Linked DNA regions of Macaca fascicularis. The main gene of each other region encodes a partner of the protein of the gene in region 2 in a complex. Links are inferred from orthologs where the notes say so. Each region holds a gene or a part of one and is shown on either strand. Other genes may lie near its edges.

Region 1 (3,935 bases), on a different chromosome or scaffold from region 2:
TCACTTTCATTTAATTTCATGCCAGCTCCAATACACACCCAGCTGCGGAGACCTTGTCTAGCTAGTGAGCTGCTCAGACACAAAGGCGCTCTAATTACCATCCGCAAGCCAGGCTGACAGGGATTTCAAGTGTTTTCATGTTTATGGAGATCAGAGAAATGTGTTCTGTACATCTTTTTCACCGATGGCAAGTATAAAATAAAACCAAACAAAAAACCCAACACATTTATTCAAAGCAGGCATTTCAGTTAAGTTAAAATCCTATAATCAGGATAGCCACAATTCCAGACACTCCGGTGCGAAGTGTAGATATGTCAGTAGCCACATCTGGATGATGAACAAGCCATTGACTATAAAAACGAGAACAACAGCACAGTCTCAGCGCCTTTAGAGTGAGTGAACAGTATGTTCCAAGCACTTCACCATGGTTCACAATGGCAAAGCCTGCAGCTTCTCCATTTGGAGGGTCACATTTTCTACTCGGTTTCCTGCACTTACAAAGGCCAGCTGGCATGGCTGGGGGAGGGGCAGAGGGAGGAAATCAACTCCGCTATCCAGGGAATTGCAGCTGTTATTGCAAATGGCCCCAGAGAGCCCATTATAAGCTGCTGTGCTAGGCTGTGTGTCCCTGGAGTGCCCATCACATGGCGTCTCCCTAGCCCCCAACCCAGGCCCCCAGGATCCCAGAGCCACCCGCTTGAGTAGGACAGCAGAGCCAAGTGGGAGAGGAGGAACCCGGGGCTCCGTCTCGGGAGTTTCCGTGAAAGCCCGGAGCGCGGCCAGGGGCGGTGGTCGCCTAGGGAAGCAGACGCCCAGCACGTCCGCGCTTTCCCACACCCGCGGTGGCGGCGGCGCGCGTGTCCTCAGGAGACTCCAGCACTTGCAAAAAACACTGCGCTCTTCTCCGAGCACGGGCAGAATCCGGCTACTCTGTCCCGCAACCCAGTGCGTGCCCAGGAAACAGTGACCTTGAACCCGAGGAGAGGCAGGCCGGCTGTGAAAATACACTTTAGAGAGCGCGTGGGGTTCACTCCGCGCCTCTCTACCCTTCCATCACCATTCAATACCCCCCGCCCCCACCTCCTGTCCCCACCCGTGTCGTACAGCCTTTCCCCCACCACTCTGAGAAAGGCAGACAGTTGCAAAGGGAGCGCAGGGGTTAACTCCTATTCAACCCTCAAAGGGTCCCTTCATGGCACCGCGTGTTTGATATTAAGCAGCACCTCCAAAGACACAAGATGGTTTTTTTAAGTGTTGAAAATATTCAAGTCTGGCAGATTGGGGTGCACCCTGAAATTATCTACTCATGTTCCCCTCCCCCAAAGTGGATCAGGAGCCAGCCCTGAAAAGGTAAAGCAAGTAACTGGCATCATCCTCAGTAGTTCCGGCGCGCCGCGATCCGGAGAAGCGTGGATTGTGGCCACATGGTCGCGGGGCTGGAGGGCACTGAGAGGCTGCGCGGAACTGCACGCTCCGCGGCTGGGTCGGGTCACTCCAAATAAGGAATCCTACTAACTTGTAAGCTTGGGGTGCGCTCTGTAAAATCCGCCTTAAATAGGGCCGAGTTCTGCATTTCAAATATTTTGGCCCTCAACCCCAGTTACCCGCGAAACATTCGCGATTTTTCTGTTCCTCGTCTTTAGCTTTTTTCTCCCACTTCCAAAAGCCAGAGTTCTCCACCAGCCTGAGCAGAATTGCAGCCCTCAGGGGAACCCGTTGCCCTCTAGTCTGAGGCCGGCGCTGTGGGCACCCCGGGCGTGTTAGCTGCCAGGGACAAGAACGCCGTCGCCAGTTCTGAGCTGCGCCCTCCCGGAGGCGCCAGGGTCACTGCAGGCCGCGCGAGGGCTGCGAGGTGAAGGGGGTTCATGCACCGGGGCCGACAGAGGTCCCAGGAGCGGGCGTTGGGGAAGCTTTGCACGTAACTGCAGCCGTCGCGAATGAAGCCTTCGCACGGCCTCCTTGATGAGGTTTCCAGAGAGCACTAGCTGCTGCAGGAGCCGGTGCGGGTCGTCGTCGCCTGTGCGGGTTTCTGGTTGGGACCCGCGTCGCTGCTGCAGGCGGCGGGAGGCGGCGGCGCCCCGGAGCCATCCTCGCCGGCACGGACCCGACAGCGGCTGCGGGACGCCCTGCTTGCCAGCACCCGGAGGACCATCGAAGTCGGCCTGAGGGGGCAGTGGGGACAGCGCGCTGGGGCCTGTGGCGAGCTCCGCCACGCAGTAGGGCGCAGCGCGGCCCCGCACGCGGCCGCGGTCCCCCAGGGCGCAGCGCAGGACCCCAGGGGGCGCCGGGCCCACAGTCTCAGCCGACGCGGGAGGCAGCAGCAGCGGCACCGCCGGGGGCCTGGCCTTGTCCGCCGGCACCGCCGCAGCCAGGGGTCCCGGGGCCCGCAGCGGCGCCCCCGGGGGCGCGCACGGCGAGGCCGGGCTGTCCTGCGCCGCGTCCAGCTGCAGCGTCTCGCCGATCTGGGCCACCAGCCGGTCCACCTCGCCCGAGCTGCCCAGCGCCACCGACTGCTGCAGCAGGAGGAAGCTGTCCTCCTCCTCTTCCTCCCCCTCCGCCTCCTCGCCAGCTTCCTCTTCCTCCTCCCTCCGGCAAGGCATGGCCCCCTGTCCGGGCACCCGGAGCTGTGCGGGCGTCGCTGGGGGCTCGACTGCCGGCGGGTGCGGTGGGCCGCGGCGGAGCGGGCGCGGAGCTGAAGACGATGCCGGGGCCGTGGCCGGGGCCGGGGCAGGGGCCGTGGCGGACGCGGAAGCCGGAGCCCGCCAGTCACTCCAGCCGCGCGCCTGCAGCCGCGGGAGCCGGAATCCTGCCGGCTCGGGTTGATTTGTAAACAATGGGTGACGTCGCGCTGGGCCCTACCACCGCGCCGGGGAGGGGGTGCTGTGCCGCTGGGGGACGGGGCTTCTGCGGGACTGGGGGTCTGGGTGAAGCCGGACTGCCTTCTGAGCTCCTTCGCTCAGGGTGCTGTCTGCAAGGGCGCCCTGGGGACCTGATCCTGGCTCCCGCAGTCGGGCGCGATTGGCATTTCCAGAAATGGACACCAGCGTGGACCTTGTTGGTTTCTTCCACACACAAGCACACACACACAGTAACACACACACACCGACCCACACACCCCTTCTCTCCGTGCGTCAACTCAACCGGGTTTTAGCGTTTGCGCTTTTGAGGTCCAGCATGCGGGTGTCTGGTGAGGATGGAAAGGAAAGGGAGTCAGGCTAGGGATTTGTACGGAGATTAGGGAAACTGACGGGAATGGGAAGGAAGAAGGGGACCTTGTCGTGCGATGGAGGTGGCAGAGTTGGAAATGGCAAAGAAAGGCCACGGATTAATGTTTCTTGATCGAGATCCTGGGCGGATGGGGGCCTGGACTGGGGTTGGCATTGCTGGAGAGGAGGAGGTTGCTAGTCTTTTTTGTTTGTTTGTTTGTTTTTGAGAGGGAGTCTCGCTCTGTCGCCCAGGCTGGAGTGCAGTGGTTTCATCTCCACTCACTACAACCTCCGCCTCCTGGGTTCAAGCAAATCTCCTGCCTCAGCCTCCCCAGTAGCTGGAATTACAGGCACCCACCACCACGCCCGGCTAATTTTTGTATTTTTAGTAGAGACGGGGTTTCACCATGTTGGCCAGGCTGGTCACGAACTCCTGACCTCAGGTGATCCACCTGCCTCAGCCTCCCAAAGTGCTGGGATTACAGAGGTGAGCCACTGTGCCCGGCCTAGGTTGCTAGTTGCTAGTCGTTTTTTTTTTGTTTTTTGTTTTTTGTTTTTTTTTTTTTTTTTTGAGACAGAGTTTCGCTCTTGTTGCCACAACCTCCACCTCCTGGGTTCAAGCAAGTCTCCTGCCTCAGCCTCCTGAGTAGCTGGATTACCGGCATGTATCACCATGCCCGGCTAATTTTGTATTTTTAGTAGAAATGAGGTTTCTCCATGTTGGTCAGG
Region 2 (3,500 bases):
AGGAAGATAGCAAAAAAAAAAAAAAGTTACAAGAAAAATGAATAGTGTTGTAACACGGTTTGGATGTTTACCCCTTTCCAAACCACATGTTGACATGTAATCTCCAGTGTTGGAGGTAGAGCCCGGTGGGAGGTATTGGATCAAGGGGGTCAACCCCTTATGAATGGGTTAGCACCATCCCCTTGTTGATGAGTGAGTTTCCACTCAGTTCACAGGAGATCTGGTTATTTAAGAGAGTCTGGGGACGGGCATGGTGGCTCATGCCTGTAATCCCAGCACTTTGGGAGGCTGAGACAGGCAAATTGCCTGAGCTCAGGAGATTGAGACTAGCTTGGACAACATGGCAAAACCCTGTTTCTACAAAATAATAACAACAATAAAAATAATAAGAAAGTCTGGATCTCCCCCTTCATGCTCTGGCTCAGCTCTCACCATGTGATGCACCTACTCGCCCTTCACCTTCTACCCGTGATTAGAAGCTTCCTGAGACAATTATTAGAAGCAGATGTCTGCACCACACTTTCTGTACAGCTTGCAGAACTGTGAGCCAATTAAACCTCTTTTCTTTATAAATTACTCAACGTCAGGTATTCCTTTATAGAGATGCAAAAATAGACTAACACAAGTTGCATCATGAATTAAAAAAATTTTTTTCAAGAAAGGAAGCATAGGAAACTACACAAAATACTTATATGCTACAGGCAGTGTTCCTCTGGTCTACATCAACACAGTACAAGGGTGGGGACAGGTCGCTTTTTAAAGTATAAATTAAGAAATTTTAACTTACCTTTCACAGGATTTATATATATATGTCATTTATAATGACTACAAAAGTAATACTGCAATCTTCAGTGAATTTTCTCTCTACAAAATACACGACTAGAAATAAAATCATTGTAATGCTTGAGCTGGACAAAAATGTGCACAATAGAAGAAATTTGAAGCAAAAAGAAACAACCAAAAAATAATCATTTATGGTACATGTATTATGACAGCAACAAAATACATGAAATACCAGACGTTTTACCTTAAATCTCTTGTCCTGCAATACTTTCTTGATGGCGACCAGTTCTCCTGAATCACAAAGTTTGGCTTGATACACCACACCAAATGATCCATTTCCAATCACTTTAGTGTCTGTATAGCTGACTTCTTGTGGCCTGTCTGGACCCTGCCCAGGAGTTGCTACCACTGTGGTCACCTTGCTGCCATCCTTGTCTCCTAACGGAAGAAAGGAAAAAAAAATTTTTTTTAATGAGAACTATAAGGAATTAAATAGAGAAAATTGCCAACATATACAAGGTAAACTAAATTCTTTCTTTCTTTTTTTCTTTCTTTATTTTTGAGATGGAGTCTCACTCTTGTCACTCAGGCTGAAGTACAGTGGCACAATCTCGGCTCACTGCAACCTCTGCCTCCCAGATTCAAGCAATTCTCCTGCCTCAACCTCCCGAGTAGCTGGGATTACAGGCACCTGCCACCACGTCTGGCTAATTTTTGTATTTTTAGCAGAGACGCGGTTTCACCATGTTGGCCAGGCTGGTCTTGAACTTCTGACCTCAGGTGATCCGCCCTCCTTGGCCTCCAAAGTGCTGGGATTATAGGCATCAGCCACCGTGCCTGGCCAAAATAAACCATATTCTTTACTACAAATTATTTTTCGTTTATCACATGTAATTACTTCAATTACTTGTTTTGATTATAAGTCATTTTTTAAACTCCCATGTATTTAGTCATTCCACAGACCAAACACAATGCTTAGTTTCAATCCTATGAGGTAGACAGTACTGTTCCCACATTATAGGTAATAGGAAGAATGTTAGATTTGCCCATGGTCAAATAGCAAATTGTGAGCCCATAAAAGTCTGACCTTATCCATCCAATTCTAAAAGGTCTTAGGGCTTTTCTCAAGATCTTATTTTACTTGAAAATAAAATGTGTGCAAATAAAAATGTTTAATAATTCTGACTCTCTTCAGATCCTTCTGCGTTTAGGAAAGTAAGGCTTTGAGTTTTAAGTTCCCTGAATAATCTTTTTCACAAAGTAGAAGACCTCTCAGAGAAAGCTCAGGTTAAGAAAAGAATGTTAATTTGGGGTTAACAGATATAAAACTTAAATAATCCAATCCATTCTGAACTGAGGCCCAATTACAAGCAGATTACTGGCTCCAGGGTCTCTATTTACTCATAGCTCTCTTCTTCCCTTTTTTGCCTTCTCTCATCCCTGGTAGCAATTCAAAGGCTTTCTTCAATTGAGGCACAAGAGCCACCTCCTACTTGACCAGGCACAGTCCACAGTCACCATGTTGTTTTCTGAATTCTTAATCGATTCTCTGAATTATGCTACCTAGTATCTGATCTAAAAGAGCTTTACATTGTTCTTTTAGTGACTTCAATGTACACAAAAATGTCTACTATTTCTTCTCTCTTCCCTGACAAATCTAAAACCAATTCTCAGTACAATATAAGTCCTTAGGCTCACTTATTGGACTTTTACTTTTTCCTGTTATTCTTCCATTATGACAATTTTCATTTTAAAATACTAACTGAATTCCAACTAACCTAATAAAAGTAATATAATATTTATGAGTATTTTTCTCTGTGAAATATAAATTGCTAGATAAATGAATATCCAAATGCACTAATAAGATATTATAACCAATATTTATATCCATTTAAATTCACAGAAGTATTAATATACACAAAAGCCAGTGAATGTCTGCGACCAATTAACACCTTCGTTTGCAAGATGGCATTTATGGTTGCTTCCAAGATGGTCGAATAGCTCTGGTCTACAACTCTCAGGAAGATCGATGCAGAAGACAGGTGATTTCTACATTTCCACCTTAGGTACATGGTTCATTTCACTGGGACTGGTTGGACAGTGGGTGCACCCCACGGAGGGCGAGCCGAAGCAGGGCAGGGCGTCGCCTCTCCCAGGAAGCGCAAGAAATCAGGGGATTTCCTTTTCCTACCCAAGGGAAAGCATGAGTGACTGTACCTGGAGGAGTGATACACTCCTGCCCAAATACTGTGCTTTTCCCATGTTCTTCGCAACCAGCAGACCACGAGATCCCCTCCCATGCCTGACTCGGCGGGTCCCACACCCACATAGCCTTGCTCACTGCCAGGGCAGCAGTCTGAGATCAACCTAAGATGCAGGAGCTTGGTGGGGGGAGGGGCGTCTGCCATTGCTAAGGCTTGAGTAGGCAGTTCTATGCTCACAGTGTAAACAAAGCAGCAGGGAAGCTCAAACTGGGCAGAACCCACCAGAGCTCAGCAAGGCCTACTGCTTCTTTTACATTCCACCTCTGGGGGCAAGGCATAGCTGAACAAAAGGCAGCAGACAGCTTCTGCAGACATAAACGTCCCTATCTGACAGCTCTGAAGAGAGCAGTGGTTCTCCCAGCACAGCGTTTGAGCTCTGAGAACTGACAGACTGCCTCTACAAGTGGGTCCCTGACCCCCGTGTAACCTAACTGGGAGACACCTCACAGTAGG

The links. Proteins that work in one complex are often made in the same cells at the same time.
Region 1: the proteins of GSK3B (region 2) and FRAT1 are in contact, whole or in part, in a crystal structure (PDB 5OY4), measured with the Homo sapiens proteins. The link is inferred for Macaca fascicularis from reciprocal best matches to the Homo sapiens genes GSK3B and FRAT1. Residues at the interface, in NP_001139628.1 of Homo sapiens: Tyr216, Ile228, Phe229, Ser261, Gly262, Val263, Asp264, Leu266, Val267, Ile270, Lys271, Thr275, Pro276, Ile281, Tyr288, Thr289, Glu290, Phe291, Lys292, Phe293, Pro294, Ile296; in NP_005470.2 of Homo sapiens: His200, Leu202, Leu203, Leu206, Val207, Ser209, Gly210, Asn211, Leu212, Ile213, Lys214, Glu215, Ala216, Val217, Arg219, Leu220, His221.

What each region holds. Positions count from the first base shown.
Region 1 is NC_088383.1:106,269,605-106,273,539, reverse strand, and holds FRAT1 (proto-oncogene FRAT1), read right to left. Parts: upstream 2,801-3,935; 5' UTR 2,601-2,800; coding exon 1,761-2,600; 3' UTR 211-1,760; downstream 1-210. UniProt on the Homo sapiens protein: Positively regulates the Wnt signaling pathway by stabilizing beta-catenin through the association with GSK-3. May play a role in tumor progression and collaborate with PIM1 and MYC in lymphomagenesis.
Region 2 is NC_088376.1:163,177,221-163,180,720, reverse strand, and holds part of GSK3B (glycogen synthase kinase-3 beta), read right to left. Parts: intron 1,222-3,500; coding exon 1,028-1,221; intron 1-1,027. UniProt on the Homo sapiens protein: Constitutively active protein kinase that acts as a negative regulator in the hormonal control of glucose homeostasis, Wnt signaling and regulation of transcription factors and microtubules, by phosphorylating and inactivating glycogen synthase (GYS1 or GYS2), EIF2B, CTNNB1/beta-catenin, APC, AXIN1, DPYSL2/CRMP2, JUN, NFATC1/NFATC, MAPT/TAU and MACF1.